2 linked regions of the Coturnix japonica genome follow. The protein of the gene in region 2 purifies or fractionates together with the protein of the main gene of each other region. This does not show direct contact. Links are inferred from orthologs where the notes say so. Each region holds a gene or a part of one and is shown on either strand. Other genes may lie near its edges.

Evidence for each region. Proteins that work in one complex are often made in the same cells at the same time.
Region 1: the proteins of POLR1C (region 2) and POLR3F purify together in Homo sapiens (affinity purification with mass spectrometry; 4 studies listed by BioGRID and IntAct, counting the BioPlex papers as one, with this or other methods). This does not show direct contact. The link is inferred for Coturnix japonica from reciprocal best matches to the Homo sapiens genes POLR1C and POLR3F.

The regions. Positions count from the first base shown.
Region 1 is NC_029518.1:13,399,154-13,409,231, forward strand, and holds POLR3F (DNA-directed RNA polymerase III subunit RPC6), read right to left. Parts: upstream 6,530-10,078; 5' UTR 6,433-6,529; coding exon 6,377-6,432; intron 6,108-6,376; coding exon 5,990-6,107; intron 5,217-5,989; coding exon 5,149-5,216; intron 4,159-5,148; coding exon 4,091-4,158; intron 3,494-4,090; coding exon 3,381-3,493; intron 2,788-3,380; coding exon 2,644-2,787; intron 2,361-2,643; coding exon 2,253-2,360; intron 1,703-2,252; coding exon 1,511-1,702; intron 1,140-1,510; coding exon 1,062-1,139; 3' UTR 530-1,061; downstream 1-529. UniProt on the Homo sapiens protein: DNA-dependent RNA polymerase catalyzes the transcription of DNA into RNA using the four ribonucleoside triphosphates as substrates.
Region 2 is NC_029518.1:27,795,431-27,805,540, forward strand, and holds POLR1C (DNA-directed RNA polymerases I and III subunit RPAC1), read right to left. Parts: upstream 6,154-10,110; 5' UTR 6,111-6,153; coding exon 6,042-6,110; intron 5,969-6,041; coding exon 5,897-5,968; intron 5,801-5,896; coding exon 5,693-5,800; intron 5,602-5,692; coding exon 5,469-5,601; intron 4,909-5,468; coding exon 4,789-4,908; intron 4,574-4,788; coding exon 4,421-4,573; intron 4,286-4,420; coding exon 4,136-4,285; intron 3,610-4,135; coding exon 3,493-3,609; intron 3,269-3,492; coding exon of another isoform or gene 3,234-3,268; exon of another isoform or gene 3,154-3,233; coding exon 3,035-3,153; 3' UTR 2,845-3,034; downstream 1-2,844. Other genes in the region: XPO5 (exportin-5), read left to right, coding at 93-230, 362-526, 823-966; protein YIPF3, read left to right, coding at 6,241-6,303, 6,374-6,580, 6,655-6,761, 6,843-6,888, 7,478-7,570, 7,912-8,043, 8,548-8,661, 9,078-9,201. UniProt on the Homo sapiens protein: DNA-dependent RNA polymerase catalyzes the transcription of DNA into RNA using the four ribonucleoside triphosphates as substrates.

The DNA.
Region 1 (10,078 bases), about 14 Mb from region 2:
TCCCTGGCAGTGTTCAAGAGGCGTCTGGATGAGGAGCTACGAGATATGGTTTAGTGGCTTGTGGTAGCAGCAGTAATGGGAGGACGGTTGGACCAGATGATCTTGTGGGTCCTTTCCAGCTTTGTGATTCTATGATTCTGTGATTCTAAGAAATCTGCTCTATGTGACAGGAAGATAAGAGCGTGCTTTTTGATGGTATGCCAGTATCATGCCTTCAATCACAATCCGTATTTATGTACAAACAGCTAACTCTGGTGCTTTTTGTAATCCTCAGGGCACCGAAACAGCCTACACAAATTTTCACTGTACCTGTATAACCAGGACAGAAGAGCTGTTTCTCGTTTGGAAAACACATCTTCACAGAATACCTACATTCTGAATTTCAGCTGACACTGATGTGCATGATGCAGCTGCCAGAACACAGAAGCACAGATCAGATAATCAGATCACAGTAGCTGTCCAACAGAAAATGCAACAGAAACATCACCAGACTCTGACAGCAGTGGAGTAAATGAAGCACCAAAATAGATATGAAAAAAAATCAAATACAGTTTTAATCATAGATCATAGCAGGTAAGAACGATGGTAAAGAATCATCAATTCCTATTTTACATAGGGAAGAAAGTGTCAGCTTTAGGTCTTAAGCTCCCACCAGCACTCTAAGTCTGAAAGCAAAGTTTAGGATCTCATTCTTGACAATGCTTCTTAGCAAGTTCTTCTGATCAGCTGATGACTTATTTTCCTTCGAAGTAAGCGTCTGTTGAGTATTCAACACAATCCTTGAATGCAATGCCTCACCACACAGCTGTTCTGTTGTGCTTCTCAAGTCAGGCACTTACATTTTGTACAAGATGGGAACTACGTTCAGCCTTGATCTTCAATGCTTGTTTGATTTTCAGTCCACTTACAGGACTGCTCACACAGCTGATGTGCTGCAGCTTTATGTTTACTTAAAAAGAAAAAAGCCAGAGGAACTTCACATCTTGAAGTAGCTCACAACCAGAAGCTGCTTTGTCATCTTAGCTGTGAAGAACGAATCGAGTTTACAGTTTTCTTTCACCTTAAAACTCCAGCCATTCTGTCATATAAATACAGTTAGATGGAGAAATCTCACCACCTTCATGGCAATCATCAAAAACCTAGGGAAGAAAGAAAGACCTGTGTCAGACCTGTGTAACTGTACGCAGCGAGCATGACTTAACTAGAAGTAGCAGAGCCTCATGTTTCCTTTTCCTTTCTAAGTAGAAAAACAGTAGTCTAGCTGAGAACAAAGTCGAGGAAGTTCAGTGCCAGTTTGGAGTAAGAGCAACGTGAGCACAACAAAGCAAAACAGAACCCGCTGTAATAAATGATGCAACATAATGTTCATGGGCATCATGAGCACACTTGGCTTAGAAACCCACAAGAATCACTCACAGACATAACCTTCATTTGCACCAGTTGACCATTTGAAGGACTGCATCCAAAATGTGCATGTACCACCTATTCATGTAAAGAATTTGTTACTTACTGGACAGAGTCCACAGGGTGTCCTGACTAATCCAGTGGGTTGTATGAGAGGACTGACAGCTCTGTACAACTTCATCTGTCCATCCACACTGCCGACCGTCCCTTCCTTTGCAGCAATAATAGTCATCTCCACTTTTCCATCGTATATTAGTGTATTTAAAATGGTTTCAATGTCTTCCATTGACAATTCTACCTAAGGAACAATTTGTAAAATAAATATAGGAAAGACGTTTGCCACTAAGTACATGAGGAAACAAGAGCAAACCCCCACGAGTAACAGACATTTCCAGGAGCCCTTCTAACTTGTCCCACATTACAGGTACAGCTCTTAACTGGGCACTTGATAGGGTTGTGTAGATACAAAAAGAAAAGTCCCAAGACTTCTTGGACTTTTTCTTGGACTACATTAACCTTTACTAGCGCAAAAGAATTTTCCTATGCACCTCAAGTGTCTATATTATCTCAGCACGATATATTTCTTGTCCTACAACAAAACAGTTGTGGAAGAAAAGGACAAGAGTACTGAAGCCTGTTGGTAGTGACCAACAATGGCCCACGCATACAGACTATCCTGGAATCCCATACAGCACCACTGGCAATCCTCAAAAAGCAACAAAGCAACAAAGTCCACCTCCACTGCAGTAACTGCAGGGAACTAGAGCACTCACCAAACTTGCACGACCCAACTCCTGCAGCTAATCATGTACTGACAATTCTGAGCAGAAAGATGAATTGATGCTGACCTTACTGATACCCAGCTCACAGATGTATTTCCACACCTCATGGGAGGAGGCAAATGAGCTGTTCCTCTGTATCACAGGGTTCTGTTTGCTCTCTCGAGCCGCTTCTGCCTGAGGAAGAAAACCACAAAGACAAGTTGCAGTCAGCACTCAGTGACAGAGCTTTCTTCACAGCTCAGTTTAGGGCAGAGTGCAAAGTGCTGTTTTGTAAACCATTTCTGAGATGTCACTGCAGTTTGGAGAAGGAAGGATCCACTCACTGCAAAGGTTACAAAAAAGTGTAACACTCACAGGAAGTACCATGGAAAACTGAAGCCTTGTCTGTCATTGGCTTTAGAAATAAAAGATTTATTTGCAAATACAAATGAAGGATCAGTTTAGTAGTGGCACTTACCTTACTCTGTAGAAATTTAAAACACTGCTGATTTAACACCTCCACAAATTCAGACTCAAAGTCCTGGTCACTGTACCAGGCCCCACCAGTCACCGATCGGTCAGGCTGCAGGTTATACAGCATATACACCTTCTTCTTGGATGCCTGGTAGAGAAAGTACATGGCTCTGAATAGATGAAGGTAAAATCTAAGGCACAGTAATGATAACTTGAGTCAGCTGGATTGATGTGTACAGCTCCTAGATAAGATGGACACACATTGCTAGTATGCAACAAGCCCTGAGCTAGAAACCAGGAGAGTGCCCAAATAATATGCACATGCCAATGATTTGTAATGAAGCAGGTAAGGCAGAGCAGGATGCTGCATAAGCATTACAACAGAATAACAAAAGTACTGAAAAAAATAAGCCCTACTCTCGCATGTGGACTATTTGTACGTAAGATATAACAGCAGTATGAATGGTAATAGAACAGTATATTAATGGCGGTGTATTTATTACTTATATTATTAATTTGTTTGCTATAGTATGTTTATTACTTATCAAACATGACAGCCTCTTGGATCTGGTACAGCTCAAACATACATTGTAAATGTTAAGAGTAAAATGTTGGTCCACATGCAGTGACAAAGCTGGAGGCAGAACAAGGTTTCTCTGCTCCCTGTTCCACGTTCAAACATGTACAGCATGTAGCAAACATTTGGAAATGTTAAAAAGCAACAAGTCAAAAATTACTCACTGCCACAGATTTCACTGCTTTAATTAGTTTCTTGCTTTCCAAGTTTTTCAATATCTTGTTGATCTCCGTTAAAGGCAAATTACTTTTGTATCTGATGTCCCTGCTCCAAATACCTGTTAAAGAAGCACAGAAATGAACAGAATTAATTAGGAGAACCAGGTATTTGTTTCTGTAAGGATTAACAAGCCAAAAGTCATAATGTTGCCTGCCAGCCAAAGGCTGCATCTCCAATCCTACCACCCTCAGCAAAAGGGAGGGAATGGGAAAAAGAGGATGAAATAAAAATCAACTGACAAAGCAGAAGAAAAACCTCACAGCACAGTCACCATCTGTATCTCTGGGAGCTCTTACATGTACACAACATTTGGCCTCACAGGAGATCCAGGAGACACAGAATTTTGTTTTTAAAGTGATGAGTATTTTGTATAGATTCCCCAGTTTCACAGTCCCATCAATAAGCCATAATTCATATTCTGAAACTTCATATTTTGAAAGAGGTCCCAAAAGGTCAGACCAGATAATTTGTTATTTTAATAGAGAAATATGTCTTCCTCTGTTTTTAATAAGTGGCACGTGGAACATTAGCTACAGACTTAGGCGTGCTCTATATCTGATATCTGCATTGCCTGGACAAGAATTTAAACGTTTGGACAGGAAAAGTTCCACAAACAAAGCTATTACCATTCCCCATTATAATTTATTTAAACTACCTTTGTTGCCTGCATCTTCTATGATTTGGTAAACCAGCTTCTCTTGATTGTCAGAGCCTTTCATTTTACTGTGGAGTAGAAGAGACAACGGGATTTTTTGGGGTAAGTTTGAAGTTTGAAAGAGGGTGGATTTATTTTAAACCAAAAACAAATACTATGAACAGAAACCACAACACACAAAGGGAAAAAGAAGCCCCACACAATAAACCAGCCAGTGGCAAATAAAATACATGACACCAAACCTCTGTGGATCATTCTGCGATTGCCAGTGAAAAGCCACAGTAAAGAGAAAACAGCACAGTTGAAAAAAAAAATAATATTAGTCATTAAAAATGAGGGTAAGCAGGAAACACTCAACTTCTCTTAACAAAGAGAAGTTTGGAGTCACATATTAACACAACTGCATAAGGTCAAACACTCAGCACATAATTCAGGACCAACTGTCGCAACAAGGGGACAGCAGAGGCTCTACAACGTGCCTTCTCACTGGTCTCAGAAAGCCTCAGCTTAGAAGGTTTTTTTCTAATGCAGTGGAAAGAGAAGTTGAGATGCCTGCATGGAAGATAATTTTGAAGGACGTTTCTTTCTAGAAGTAAATCCAGGCATCTCCTACTCAGCTCCACACAGACATCGCAAAACACGACTTTATTGAAGGCATGTTTTAATAAATCAAATAAAAGAGCACAAACAACATATCAAGCGGCCTTCTGGAACTGCTGTAAGTGCTGGAAAAGACCACAGAACGATACTTATAGATGGTGTGGTCAAGCTTCAGCTGGCTTTCATCTGAGCATTCGCATCTGCTCATAGAGATCACTTTGCCAGATGAAGAATTCCACTAGTAAGCTACAGCTGGAGCCCCATGGGAGAGTCTGTGCAGCAGGAATCATACAACAGTTGACAGAATTGGCTCAGGGGGGTTAAGCGTATCAAGCAAGTAAATTCTGTAATATCTTTGTTACAGAGCCCATGTTAAATTCCTTGCTGTGTTCTCAGCAACGCCGCACATCAGCTGCAGAACCGCATTCAGATATTGATTGCGTAAGCACAAGGCTCACCTTGCATTTTGAGACTCTTTGATTCTATACAGGAGACCTGTGCTGCTCCTGAGAAGGTCCAGTTGCCCCTGTGGGAAACAGGCACAGCACATTAACTTCCCTTCTAACAGCTTCTTTTCAGAACACGGCAAGAAAATCTCCTTAACTTGTAAAGAAAATAAATGTACTTTGTATCAGCTGAATACAGAAAAGGGAAAAACAACATTTCTAACTGCTAGACACAACAATAACCCTGAGGATATTATTCTTCCCCTCTGACCATGCATTTATCATTAGCTGTCAGAAATAACAAACACAGCTCCAGCCTCTCCCCACAACACTGGTGCACTTCCCGTTGTTTCTCCTAACGTTCACCTTGGGACATGGAGCTCTTGTATACTTCCCACCAAAGTGCTCATTCATATGAGCATCCAGATATCAAGTGAGAGCTCTGCTGGACAGGAACACTGAACAATTCCACAAGTGGAAGAGATGAGGGCTCTTATTTTGTTGGTTATGTTCTCAGTTCTGTAGATAACTGGAAAAGTGTCAGCCAAGTTTGAGGATGCCTCATGGAGGCTGCTCACTCACACAACAGGTGTTAACTTTATCTTACAGAATGGAAACTACATTTTGAGGTATGTTTTAATAGATGATGGTGACCGTTATAAGTGGTTGTGGTGGTCACAAGTGAGAACCACAATTAAGCTGCAAAAACTGCCAGTTCTGGCAAATGACACTAAATCCAAGATGAACTTCCCAGCCCTGCCCAGCTGGGTGCCACCACGCAGCCATTGACAACAGCCCATTGACATCAAGAGCCTCAGGATGAAGCAGCTCGAAGGGGTGTGGAACGTCGTACCATGGAGAGCAGCCTGTTGATGGCCATGGCTCGCTGCTGGGCCTCCATGTGCGGCATGTCATTCTGGATCACCTGGTCTGTGATGCCGTGAGGGAACTGCTGGCACAGCTCAATGATCCTGGGGGAGGAATGAGGCGGTTTATGAACCAAAGGCCGTTGTGCACAAAACCAGCCACCTGAAAGGCCATCAGAGCAGGGACGGAAAGGAAAGAGCAGCTCAGGAAGAACCACTTCTCAGCTCTTTCTGACAGCGCTGCTGCTCCACTTCACTTTTGGGCTGCTCTCAACATCAACGCACCAGGACCCACCAGGACCCACCGCTCCCCGCCTCCCCAGCACCACGAAGCCTCTCCCGATGATTTCGGGCCAGGGCCCGTCCCAACGCACCTGCTCTCTATGTCCACGGGGTCGGGCACCTCCGGCTTCACCTTCACCTCCGCCATGGCGGCGGGCCGGGCTGCGCGGGGAGATGCCGTCACCAGGAGCGGAGGGGATCGGTTACTGAGCGGCACGTTGAGATGACGTTATTTGTACGCGCCGGTGCCGGTTGCCGAGTAACGGGACGCGTGGGCTTTGTCGACACCGCCTGCTTTGTGGTGGTTGTGGTTGTTGTTGTGGTTGCTGTTGTTGTTGTGTTTCAGGGATCGCAGAGCAGGATGGCGGCGGGCTCCGTGTCTGTGCCGCAGCTCATTCCGCTCCGGGTCCCTGTTCCAGGGCAGGCCAAGCACCGCATCGACAGCGGCACCCGGGTGGAAATCAAGTCAGGTACGGGCTGCGGCTTTGCCTCTGTCAAACCTCCTCTCAAAGCGTTTGAGCCTTCCAGCCTCCGTGTTGGCTGCAGGTAACTGGCCTCAGGAACTCCACCTGCCATCAGAGGAGATGGTTTATCTGTTGGTAGAACAGTGTTTTCCTGCAAAACCACCGTGCGGTGACTTTATGAAGAGAAATATTGCTAATCGTGACATCGCAGCCATTCAGTGTCAGTTCTTCATGGGAGAAACGGTTTTGGTTCTGAACTTTTATGCAATTGCTTCATTGTGCTTATGTGAGAAAGTCAAGTACTCACACAGTGCTGAGTATCTGCAGGGTTGTACAGATATTTGTGTTTTTTTCCAGCTCCTGCACAGTTTGGCTAATTACTTTCTCTGTGTTGTTCAGATACACCTGAGGTCTCTATTTATTACACTTTAGATGGAAGTAAACCAGAACTTTTTAGGAAGCCTGGCTATGGAGAGCGTAACACTTTTAAGTATAAGAGTCCTATCACGTTACCAGTCGGGAAAATAACAGTCAAGGCTCTTGCAGTTACCAAGTAAGTATCCTGCTTTAACTTAGTTCTGTTTTAGAATGGACATCTTAACTTCATGGTTAGAAGAACACACAAGGAATCCCCAGTCCAGCTGGGAATCTGTTCCCCACTATTAGCACCTGCATGTAGCCTTTGCTTGTATCTGCATTGGAATATGACAACATTATATTCCCTGTGCAGGACATGCAAACCCTAGGTCTGAAGGTATTTTCATATATCACTATCTGAATTAACAGTTCTTTCCAGTGTTTTATTAAGACATTTCCAGGTGCACCAAATTGATGCTCTGGAATGAAAGCAAATTCTTAATTAATAGCTTGTACATTTGTGGCATTTTAATGTTACTGCTGTAATTTAGCAAGTGAGAAGGTAGAGAAGGTAGATAAGAGAAGGACAGTTGATATATCAAATTGACAGTGTGCTGTCTGCTGCTTGACTGCCCTTTGTTGCCTGCAATGCTGGCAAACTAATTACTCCAGAAAGCAGACACAGCAGCATCAGGAGTTAGTTTCACAGGTAAAAGATGTTGAAGAATTAAAGTATCCATCCGTATGTTTTACTGTTAACTTCTTAGTGTGCACACTAACTTAAACATAATAACAAAACAAAGCAGAGGTTTTTGAGAGTATTTCCCAGGACTGTGCTTACTCACTGAAGTAATGACTTGCAAACTTGGAAGAGATGTTCCAGACGATCAACCGTGTTCCCCCGTGGTTTCCTTTTCATTGCATGTGGTTTTATGGCATGTTCAGAACTTTGTGATCATTGACTTCCAGGGACTGCAGGGAGAGTGCTGTTGTGACAAAGGTGTTTCTAGTAGAGTACAAGCAACCAAACGGCCTCTTCTCTATGGAAGATGATGACAAGAAGTTCCTAAAAGATGTCACAACACAGGCAAGTTGTAGCAGTTGCAATCTCTTGTCTGAATACAGAAGGTTGTGTGTATGATAGTGCTTAGAGATTAAACCTTGACTGCCTGCATTTTTTATGTATTTTATTTTCCCTGTTGCTCATCTTTGCAGCCTTGGCCCTTTTTATAAAGTGAAATTTTAAGGGAACACGTCTTCTTTCTTTACTCACTGCTCTGTCATGATCAATTCAGGTCAAATATATTTAAAATACATTTATCCTCCAAGCTTTTCAAATGCTTACAATGAAAAGAAATACCTCAATGATATGCCTTTAAAATCGTAACAAATAACTATAGCTTCCTATAACTATAGGAAGGATTAGAGCAAAAACAAGCAATCCTAAGTAATCCAAATGAAATCACTTCTTAGGAGAAGGAAGATGGAACATTTACTACAAAACCAAGGCAAAATGGAATGGGTGTGGAAATCAAGCCTGCCTGGACTGAAACACCCCGGGATGTTCAAGGTATGGTATTACTGCAGGAAGTCAGAACAGACTTTGGGTTTTTTTGTTAGCTGAGAATACAGTGCAAAGTTTTCATCTTATGTCATCATTAAAATACAGGGGAATCTAAAAAACATCTCAGAAGTCAAAACATCTTCTGAGGAGTCCAATTTCCATTTCTCAGCACTGCAAGCAGGGAACAAAAATTGCCTTCTATACTTACCAGCCTGCTTATTAAGAACAACAACAACAAAATAATTCATTTCTAAGCAACATAACAAGGCCCAGTCTGCATCTGCATTTGTGCTAGAAAATGACATTAAACTGATGGGACTGCAAATTCATTAGAATATAGAGAATAACACATTTTTGGTTTTAGAAACAGAAAGAAAGACTGATCACAAGTCCCTGCAAGGACCACAGCTCCTGACCAGCCCTTTGGGAACAGCAGGGTACGGAGAGGAATCCTCAGTACTACCAATGGAGTCCTCACAGGCAAGGAAAGGGGCATGGAGGAAAACTGTACAAGTCTGTCCAGAAAAGAGAAAGATGTGAAACTCTGTCGTCATTTTTATATAATCTCTCAGAAACCACTGCCTTTGGCTGTACTATACAGGACTGATTTAAGGTTATGGGTAAAGACATGCTTAAAAAGTAAAGACAAAACCAGGTACGAAAAATTACCAATACCTGCATTGTTAGAAATCCTTTTCTAACACATTACAGAAACTGCAATTAACAAACATTTAGACCTACCATTTAATCATGCTGCCTTTGATAAGACAATTATTTTGAATTGCAGAATCTCTCGGTCACTACTGCAGCTAATGGGAGATGTATTAGATATTCCTTAAAGCAATACATTTCTATGCACTTTGTCTCAAATAACATGTCTTTATTTGAATTAGCTCGATGCATGTATGTGCATCTTGTATGCATTTGGCAAACAGTAATTAATGCAAAAGTATTACCTTCATTTCAGTTTGCCAGTTCTGCAGTGACCAGCCGGAAGAGCTTAACAAGCACACAGGTGGCAAGGATCCAGAGGGAGAGAGATTTCCTCAGGTAAATGACTGCTACTGACATCTTTGTTCTGTAGAAAGAAACAGAGCAGTTACTTCCAACAAGCGAGTTGATAATGCTGTGAGACTCTGCTAGAAATAAAGAAAGCAAAAGAGATACAGTAGGTGACAGAGCTCACCTCTCAGTAGACCTTACATGGTGAGTAAAAATCATGAAACTTTGTAGCAGCAGCCAGGGAGCTTCCACCTTGCCAAGCTCTTCCTTGTTCAGTCTCCTGCATAGGACGCTGGGGAATGGCCTGGTGAGCCACTGTAGACTAGGAACCACAATTTAGACATCGGCGGTCTAAGTCCAGTCACAGATGATTCCAGATTTTTCCTTGTTATGCACCAGTACATTGC
Region 2 (10,110 bases):
CACCCCTGGGTACAGTGTCCCTTGAGAAGGCTGAACAGCTGTAGGAGGGCAATCGTGTGTCATATCGTATGCTGACGGTGCTTCTTCCCCAGGTGCTTCCAGGCAATTTGCTGCCCGACGCCGTGTCCTGGTTTTTCACCAGCGTGCTGAAGGGCTTACAGATCCATGGGCAGCACGATGGCTGCATGGCAGCTCTTGTCCATCTGGCTTTCCAGATCTACGAGGCTTTGGTGAGAAACTGTCAGCGTGCCGCCTTGTCTGGGGGTTGGTGGGAAGCAAATCCCTTGTCTGCTTAGAGGGGCGCAGAGGAGCCAGTGGCCCTCAGGGAGGGCAGCTGCGATGACTGTACTTCTCCTTGCAGCGTCCTCACTACGCTGAGCTGAAGATGGTGATGGAGCAGATCCCAGACATCCAGAGGGACTCGTTGGAGCAGTTTGATTCAAAGCTTCTTAACCCAACGCTGCAGAAAGTGGCAGACAAGCGCCGGAAAGATCATTTCAAACGCCTGATAACGGGTTGCATTGGGGTAGGTGATATCCTGAGGGAAAACAAGCCTGTTTCAAATGATCCCTGTGCCTGCAGAAGCATCGGGGCAGTCAGGCTGCTTTGCCTCCCCCTGTCCACCACCCTTTCCAGCTAAGGAGCTGTCGCAGCAGATTCTGACTATTTCCCCCCTCATCTCACTGAGACACCTTTACACAAAGGTGCCTGTAGGGAACTGGGTAGGGAAACATTTGAACAAATCCATCAAGTGGGTCCTGGGCTTTAGTGAAGATGGAGGCATGAGGGTGCTGATGACTGATGTCTGTCTGTCCTCTGCAGAAGCCACTTGGGGAGCAGTTCCGCAAGGAGGTTCATATCCGGAACCTCCCATCTCTCTTCAAAAAGGTGAAGCCATCACTGGAGACAGATGTGCTGGAGACACATGAGGATGGAGAGGATCTCACTGTGCTCTTTGAACCCTGAGCCTGGGATGCTGCAGCCATCTCCTTCCCTATTTTGTATTTCATCTCTTCTCATAGTAACCACACTAGATTCTCCTTGTCACCACCTCTACGAGCGTTTGTCTCAATAAAGCCCCTTACAGGTCCGGTCCCATCCTCCTCCCTACAATGGGATGGGGTCTGTGGTGGCATCTGATCCAGTCTGTTAAGCTTTCTCTTATTCCTTCCCCTCCCCTACACTGGATGAGCATCTTTAGACCTTTGTCTCTGCAAGGTGGGAGCTGAGCCCATAGACTGTTAGGTAAAACATGGTCATCCTATAGCCTTGGGTCTCCACTTCTTCATCCTTTGGGGTTTAGGATTAGTGCAAGGTATAGTGCAGCTTGTGAAAAGGGGCTACCATCATCTTTCTCCAGGTGCTGGTAGCCAGGCTTTGCAGAGGATCCATCAGGCACTGCTGTCATGCCTATCATGCTTGTCTCTACTGGACTCGTGTTCTAATGGATCCATTCTCTTCCAGGATGCTGGGCTGAGGGCTGCGTGCCAAGGAAGCCTTGCAGTGCTCTAGGATCTCCTTGAGATCAGTCTTCTTAAGGTGCAGCTCCTCTGTGGGAGGCAGGCACCATCACACATATATATACATACATATGTATATATATACGATCATACTTGTTCTACCCATAGCCAAACGAAAGGCTTTGACTCTGTGCTAGCTTTTCTTGGATATCCTTAAGGGGGAGCAGGACAGATGTTTTGTTTCGTTTTGTTTTTACCACGCCCTGATGATGGCCAGTGCAGGGTACACAAAATCTGGACCAATACCTGAAGCACCTGCAAAACAAATGGGATCTCCTCACCCTCTTGCTGTGGAGGCGACAGGAGTTTCACCCAGCCTGGTACTTCTCAGAGGTAATGCAGCGGGGCAGGAGGAGTGGGGGTTATACTGCAGCTTACAGGGAACAGCCAGAACAGAAACAAGGTGTCAGATGAGGTGACTCCGGTTTGCAAAGTTGGCTCTTCTTGACATGACAAATGGTTCATTCAGCATACGCTTATGCTGGCACAGGAGCTGCGAGGCTCAGCTCATTTTGCCATCAAGAAGAACCAATAAATCCTGCGAGGACAGACGGGACTGAAAAGTTTGGGATGGAAGGGGGTTAGAATGCAGAAAAGATGAGTGTGCCTTGGGAATCTACACACCCTCCTGCCCCTGCTGTTCCACCTGCACCCTCTACTTCCCTCCTGGCCTCAGACATTTTGAACCTCTGAGCTGACGTGGCTCCTGGCTCTTAGCAAAGGCTGGGTGTATTTATTGTGTTGTGAGGTTTTTAACATTCTGTGACTTCATGCTAGACACAAGGGGTTTTTTTAAATGGTTTTTAGAGCCTTTTTTTTTTTTGTAGGAATGTTTAAAGCTGTCTCTGAACCAGTTGTGTTACACCTCTGAATGTCAGTAAAGCTATTCCAGTTTCATACCCACGGTGTCATGACTTTGTTTGTATTCAGCCTTCCTCGCTCCAGCTGCCAGAAAGAAAGTGCAGCCAATGAATGCCCCGGTGGCACAGTGGTAGAAGTGCCGCTTGCAACACGGAGGCCCAGGTTCAAATCCCCCCTGTGGATTCTAGAGCACGTATTTAAACCCCACCATCCCTACTACACAAAGAAGCCCAGTACTATAAGACAACCCAGCTACCACACTGAGACATCTTCAAAACAGACATAAACTGACAGTGACTTCAGTTCTCATGGGCCTGCTGCTAAGAGCTTTACTACAGTGCCTTACTGGTCCTCTTCACACACTGCCTGCATTCTAAAACAAGTATTACTTGGCTTCAGCCCTGCTGCCACTTTATTTTTGTATGGTACAGTCTCACAGTTGTTAACTGCACAGAAGCAGGCAGAGGTAAAAGCAAGCTTTTATTTCAGTGCATCTCCTCACTGAGGCTCATCACACACGAAACAAAGAGATGGTCCCAGGGCTCTTAAAAAAATCCATCTCCAAATTCATGCCTAGGGCAGAAGAACCACTCCTGCCGGCCAGAGCAAGAAGCCCAAAACAGCAGCACAGGGTTCTTGGTTGTACAGCTCACTCACTCCATTGGCACAGCATCCAGTTCATTCAGGAAACGCTGACACTTTCCCATCAGTATCTTGATGGCTTCAGTCACCAGCACGTCTGGAGGCAAGATACCTGTCGACTCCACTGAAACTGCACAGAGACAGAAGTCAGCACGGCCATTGCGCTGCTTCAGCCTGCGGCTGGCTCCAGCGTTTGCTCCTCATCTTCCCTTATGCTGCACTTCCAGCAAGCCAGACCTTTGCAGCTGAAAGAAATAAGCCAGCAAGAAGCACAAACACATCCTACCCCAAAGCTGCACCAAACCACTATCTCAGTAGCTCCCCAGAGGAATACAAACATAGGAAGAATAACGATGCCAAGTAGAAGGGAAAGACTGAGACCAAGGTATGCACACTGGCCAGCCCCTGCTTGTTTGTACAAAGCAGAATCGGGCTGGGCACTCTGCTCTGCACAAAACAGGCTACTTACAGATGTAATGATTTCGCACCCTGGCCAGGCGCACCAGGTTTTTCAGACCCTCGTGTCGGAAGACTTCCCTGCTGAACGTGTCCAACCGTGCGTTGGCTACTCTTGCCACCTTCTTTCCTAAAAGGAGAAGACAAAACAAGGTGGGCACCGGCAGCAGATGAGCACCTTGGGGTCACAAAAAGTACTTACCCCTCAAGCAGCAGAGGCAGCAAAGCCACATATAATTAGCACATCCCTAACATGAAACTCCAGCTTGGCAGAATTCATTTCCTCGAACAGTTCTAAGCCAAACACAAAGCCTGTATGTGCTCCTGGGCAGGACACAAGTCCTCCCCGTGCTCAGCTGTTACAAAGAGCAAGCTCGCTACCCAGACACCTAACAGTAGCACAGGGCTCTACAGACAGGCATGCAACACATAAGCATTTCAGGGAGATCTCAGTTCACTGCTAAAAACATTTGTGTGTGACAGCCACTCAGCCACTACAACCAGGCTCAAAACAGCACCAACTGTTGTTGATCAGCAAGACAACATCGCAATGTGTTATTTTCCCAACAAGGTTTGACTACAATCTCTACTGTCTCTATTCAGTCACTGCTAAGACTTGTTAGGAACGAGGCACTTTACAGCTGGAAAGAAAGTACCCTTGACGTTCTGGATCTCAATGACTCCAGGGGAAAAGCACTTCTGTAACGTCTCGGCTGCCTCATCCTCGATAGGCTGCAGGAGAGTGATGTCAGGAAGCAGTCGATAACTAGCTGTGGCCACAGGAGAAAACTTGGCATGATCTTTACCTGCACAAAGAGTTCAGAATTAAGGATGAGGACAGGCCTTGGGGTCAAGCTAGTTCTCCAGTGTTTCCCATCACACAGCTGTGCTCGAGTCCAAGCACCAGCACACCCACTCCCCAGCTCAGACCCAGCACTCACCTACACCCTTGACGCAGTGCATGAGCACATCTATTTCCTGCCCAGGTCTCAACAGTGCTATAAGGATGTCGTCGTGGACAGGTCGGAAGTCAGCATCCGGAAAGAGGTCTGTCTGATTCCCCAAGGGAACCCATGTCATGTGCTTACTGTACACTGCCAAAAGAAACCACGAGCATCAGCCAGCTGCTGCCTCAGAAAACAGGTTGCTGACCTGAATAGGAGATGGCACAAGCAAGCTATGTATACTGTGAGGAAATGAGCTGTCTCTGCTCACAAGGCAAAACACCAAGAGAGAGAAAGAAGAAAATGAACAAGAGAAAAAGCAGAAAGCTGCACCTACTTTTAGGGCAGGCACAAGGAGCTCTCACCTTTGTGATTGAAATACAGCTCGTTTGGGTCAGACGATTCCTTGGCTGCCTGAGGATTCCGGCTGCATTTTATTTTCAGCTGGAACTGCAGAGTATCAATTTCCGTCCCCTCTTCATCTCCTGGAAATGGCAAAACAGTATCTTTATGGAAGTGAATTCTGCTTTGTTGAAGTGTATCCAGGGGAGGGACACATGAATGACCCAGTGATGGAACATCTCTCCTACGAGGATGGGTTGAGAGCTGGGGCTGCTCAGCCTAGAGAAGAGAAAGCTGCAGGGAGACCTGGAAGCGGCCTTTCTGCACCTAGGAAGAGCATGCAAGAAAGAAAGGGACAGACTCTACAGCAGGGTCTGCTGTGATAGGAGAAGGGGAAACGGTTTGAGGCTTAAAGAGGGTAGATTTACTTTAGAGATAAAGAAAAAGTCTATTACTGAGTGAGAGTGGTGAAAATGAGGGTGGTGAGGCACTGGAACAGGCTGCCCAGAGATGCGGCTGATGCCCTGTCCTTGCAGACTTACAAGGCCAGGCTGGGCAGGACTCTGAGCACCTGGTCAGATGTAGGAGTCCCTGTATGTTGTGGGATCGTTGGACCTGATGGCCTTCATGATCCTACGGTGTGACCCCAGCTCCTGGTTATGGGCTCCACCCTCCCCACCGCTGTTCGACCCGAGCCCCTCACCTTGATTCCTGTACTCAAAGAGCCGCGGGTCGGCCCGGATGGGGATAAGGCCCAGTCGGTGCGCCAGGATCTCGTCCTGCACGATGGACGTGTTGTTGTACACAAACACCTTTTCCACAGCCATGGTCGGCACCTCGGGGGGACGACAGAGCGAGGCGATAAGCCGCCAAGCAGGGCACCGCACGGGGACCATCCACTCGTCATGTCTCCCAGCCCCGCGGTACCTCAGCGAGCAGGATGCGGCGGAACGCGTTGGCGATGGCCGCGTCGATGCCCACCATGTCGAACTCGAGCACGCCGTCCTCCTCCCGCACCACGTCCACGCGGAACCCCTGCTCGGGAACCGCGCCGCGTCACGACGGAGCCGAACAAGGGGCCCCGCAGCAGCAGCTCCATCAGCTCCATCATCTCCATCAGCTCCCACTCACCTCCTCGAAGCGCCGCTGGTCCCACGCGTCGTCGTACCCGGGGTAGTTGCCTGGGAAGTCAGTGGTGTGGACCTGCGGGGGGCGCAGCCCGTGAGGCAGCGGGGGGTGATGCGGGAGCCGCCCCGCGTCCCGCCGCCCCACGCACGTTGCGGACGCCGAACTCGCCCAGCACCACGCGCTCCCGCATCTCGTCCGTGCCGCGCCGGGCCGCCATCGCCGACGGAAGGACGCGCCGCCGCCCCGCCCCGCCGCACGTAAGGCGGCCATGCGGAACTGACGGCTCTCGCGAGACACGGAGCGGCCGGACCGTCACATCCGCGTTGCCGTCCCCCGTTACCGGCGCTATGGCCGCGGCGGGCGGCAGGAGCGGCACCGCCGAGTGGGGCGGCTTTGAGGACAACGTGCAGGTGGGGCCGGCCCGCGGGGGGGGGGACAGAGGGGCCCGAGCGGGCGCTGACGATCCGTGCATCGGAGCAGGGCGGCGGCTCGGCCGTCATCGACATGGAGAACATGGACGACACGTCGGGCTCCAGCTTCGAGGACATGGGGGAGATGCACCAGCGCATGAAGGAGGAGGAGGACGAGGAGGCGGAGGGCGAGGCGGGGGCCGGCGGGGAAGAGGACGGCGAGTTCCTGGGCATGAAGGGGCTGCAGGGGCAGCTGGGCCGGCAGGTGGCCGACCAGGTGAGTGGGCTCACGAGCCGCCAACAGCCCCGCCGGCCCCGGCCCCGCCGCTGCACGTACCGTTCTGTCCGCAGATGTGGCAGGTGGGGAAGCGACAGGCGTCCAAAGCGTTCAGCCTCTACGCCAACATCGACATCCTGCGGCCATACTTCGACGTGGAGCCCGTCCAAGTGCGCACCAGGTGGGCAGGGCAGCGGGTGCACGGGATCTGTTGCTTCTTAATGACTGTCCTGATGTCGTTCCCCGCTGTGCCGTAATGCAGGTTGCTGGAGTCCATGGTGCCCGTCAAGATGATCAGTTTCCCACAGGTGAGTTCTCTCTCACTGAACCAGACCCCACAGCCTGAGTGACTGTTCCACAGAGACCCCTCAGATGTAATTAGCCTGTTATTAAGGATCCAAGTCTGTTAGATGTTCACCTCCCTCAAAGTATCAGTAAACCCTTTCCTATGGTTGTTCCAAACCCCATTCTCATAGAATTGTAATCATAGAACATCCTGAGTTGGAAGGGACTCATAAGGCTCACCTGGCTCCATACAGCACCACCCATAAATCAGACCATATAGCTGAGATCATTGTCCGGATGCTTCTTCAACTCCAGCCAGCTCACTGCTGTGACCGCTGCCCTGCACAGCCTGTGCCAGCGCTGCCTTTACCTTCCTGCTACCCTTAACGCTGGTACAGTTGTAGAACTCTAGACCTCACTTTGCCCATTTCTGCATCCTGTTGAACACCACTCTGACTCATCACAGTCTGTTCTGTGTGGCTTCTGTCAGCAGTGGCCTTGCAGATGCTCCTCGGGTGATAAAAGTCTCCAAGATGCTCGTTATGTCTCTCAGGGTGGAGAGCCTGGAAGACAGGAGCACTAACTAAGCCTCATCTCTCTCTTTACATGTAGAAGATTGCAGGTGAGCTTTACGGACCCCTCATGCTGGTCTTCACGCTGGTGGCCATCCTGTTGCATGGGATGAAGACCTCGGACACTATCATTGTATGGCGAGTCTCAGTGATTCATTTGTGCTTTGACCGGGTTTGGGATTGCTATAATGACACTGGAAAGGGAGAGGAAACCTCTTCTGTATCACAAGAGCTGAAAAGCAGATTTGATCTGAGGAAGATCCTTTTGGTTTTGGAGAGGGGAGGAAAGTTGCATCAGAAAGTCCCAATGCTCTGTAGCTGGGAGAGATGGGGTGTAGGTCGTGGGGCAACCTGCCTGCTGTTAAGCCAGCTGTTTGTATACATGTATGAAAGGCTCTGGGTGCTCTGCAGTGAAACTCAGGTGCTGGCAGGCCCTTGCTCTGAGTTCTCTCTGTCCTGCTGCTGTCTCCACAGAGGGAAGGCACACTGATGGGCACAGCCATTGGCACCTGCTTTGGTTACTGGTTGGGAGTCTCCTCTTTCATCTATTTCCTGGCATATCTGTGCAATGCCCAAATCACGATGGTGCAGATGCTGTCGCTGTTGGTATGTACGGATGGGGCTGCCCCAGGATGGATGCTGGCTGCGTGGTGTTCCAGAGGGGAGGGTAACCTGTGAGCTCTTCCCAGAGAGCTGGAAACATCTTTGTAAATGAGTGGTCCCAGATGACCATAACCTTGTTGCACAGGGACAACTTGGAATCCGGGATGATCTTTGGACCTGATCTGTCCCAGACACAGAGATGGCACAGAGCAGCTGTTAGTGCTTGCAAGTTTCCTCTTGGGGAGATTCTCATTTTTCTGGGATCAGAGGCTTTTTTCCTTGCATTTCCTAGATTGATGCAATCTCCAACAGTCCTGTGAATCCTTCTGACAGATGAGCTGGGTGTGAGCTCCTGTTAAATCTGTTGTGCTGGTTGACATTCTAGCACGGAGTGTGCAGTCTGCAAAGTAGTGCCTTGCTGAAACATTGCAAGCATTGGCTGTTTGTTGCTCAACAACCTTTTGTGTGCAAGTGACAACTGTAACATGGATGTGTTTGTTTTGCCAGGGCTATGGCCTTTTTGGACACTGCATCACTCTGCTTGTCACCTATAATATCCACTTCCATTCCCTCTTCTATGTTTTCTGGTTAGTCGTTGGTGGACTCTCTACACTGCGAATGGTAAGTGACTGGCAGCCCAGAGGGAAGTGTTTCTTGCTTTCTGTTCCTTGGGCCAGTCAAGTGATTCCACAGCTGGGTAGGGTGCTTAAAGAAAGCCTGATGCTTCTGGGCCATTTGGCTATTAGTGTGTGGCCTGGCTTACTGTCCTCACCCATTCTAACAGCTGCAGGAAGCCTGCTGTCTTATGTCCCCCGCTGCTCCAGAGATACTTGCTGAGCCCCCTTAACACTGAGTGAAACTGGGCAAGATTCATCTACCCAAAACAGTCAGATTTCCTAGTGCCAACTGTGAGGAAGGCTCTGAGCAGTGTTCCCACTGGCTCTCTGCTTAGCCCATCCTCCTGTGTACTCCTGACTGCAGTGCCAGAGGCTGATATTGCAGCTCTCCCATCCCTTAAATCTCCACTTCTCTCCTAGGTTGCTGTGCTGGTGTCACGCACGGTGGGGCACACCCAGCGGCTCATCCTGTGTGGAACTCTTGCTGCTCTGCATATGCTTTTCCTCCTCTATCTGCACTTTGCTTATCACAAGGTGGTAGAAGGTAAGCAAGGGAAACATGATGGCAGTACCTCTTTGATGTGGGGCAGGAGGAGGTGGTGCTTCTTCCTTTCTCAGAGAGAAAGGACAGGCAGTTTGGAACTGACCTAAGGGCATCTGGGCCAGTTCCAGGCCCAAGCGTGACTGCACTACCATAGTTAGCAGAAGGTGTCAAAGCAGGTCAGCATGTTGATGTGGGGTAGTCTCTGTATGCAGTTCTCGTACTTAAGACAAGCTGCAAGCAGGCTTTCCCCACAAGTCAAGCGTTGAAGCAGTGACTGCTTCTCTTATGCAGTTATCCAGTCCCTTCCTGATCCTTGCTAAAATCAGGCTGCTTTACTCTGATCAGGAAACGTATCATGAAAGTCCTTCCTTCTTTACCTAACACCTTTATTATCTTAAGTTGTACAACACAGACAGCAAAAGCTGCATCCTCTGCAGTCAGTACTTTTTACCAGGTTATACAGATTTGGGTGGTCTTTGTGTTTTGTTGATTTTCTCCTAACAAATTATTAGATTGAAACCTGCATAATTTTGGCACAGCATCACAAGTCCTCTTGGAGCTAAACACTGTTCTTTCCTGGCTCCCTATTCATGGCCAACGTTCTCAGCCCTAATATGCAACTTCTCAGCAAATGAAATATGTGAGAATATACTCCAAGCAATTTTCTCCAAGGATCTCCGTGACTGATGATCAGTCTTGAGAGGGTAATTGACAGGAACTGGAGAACACTTCCATCAGCATCTGCATTTCCTGCCAAATATGGTCTGTTTGCAGTGCAGTGATAAAAATTCCATATTGCACTTCCAACTGTAATTCTGATATAAGCCTTGCAGGTGTATCTCAAGGTGAAAGCAAACAGTTGCTCTAAGAGGAGGGTATGTGCTGGAGTGAAGCGGGGAAATGACCTGC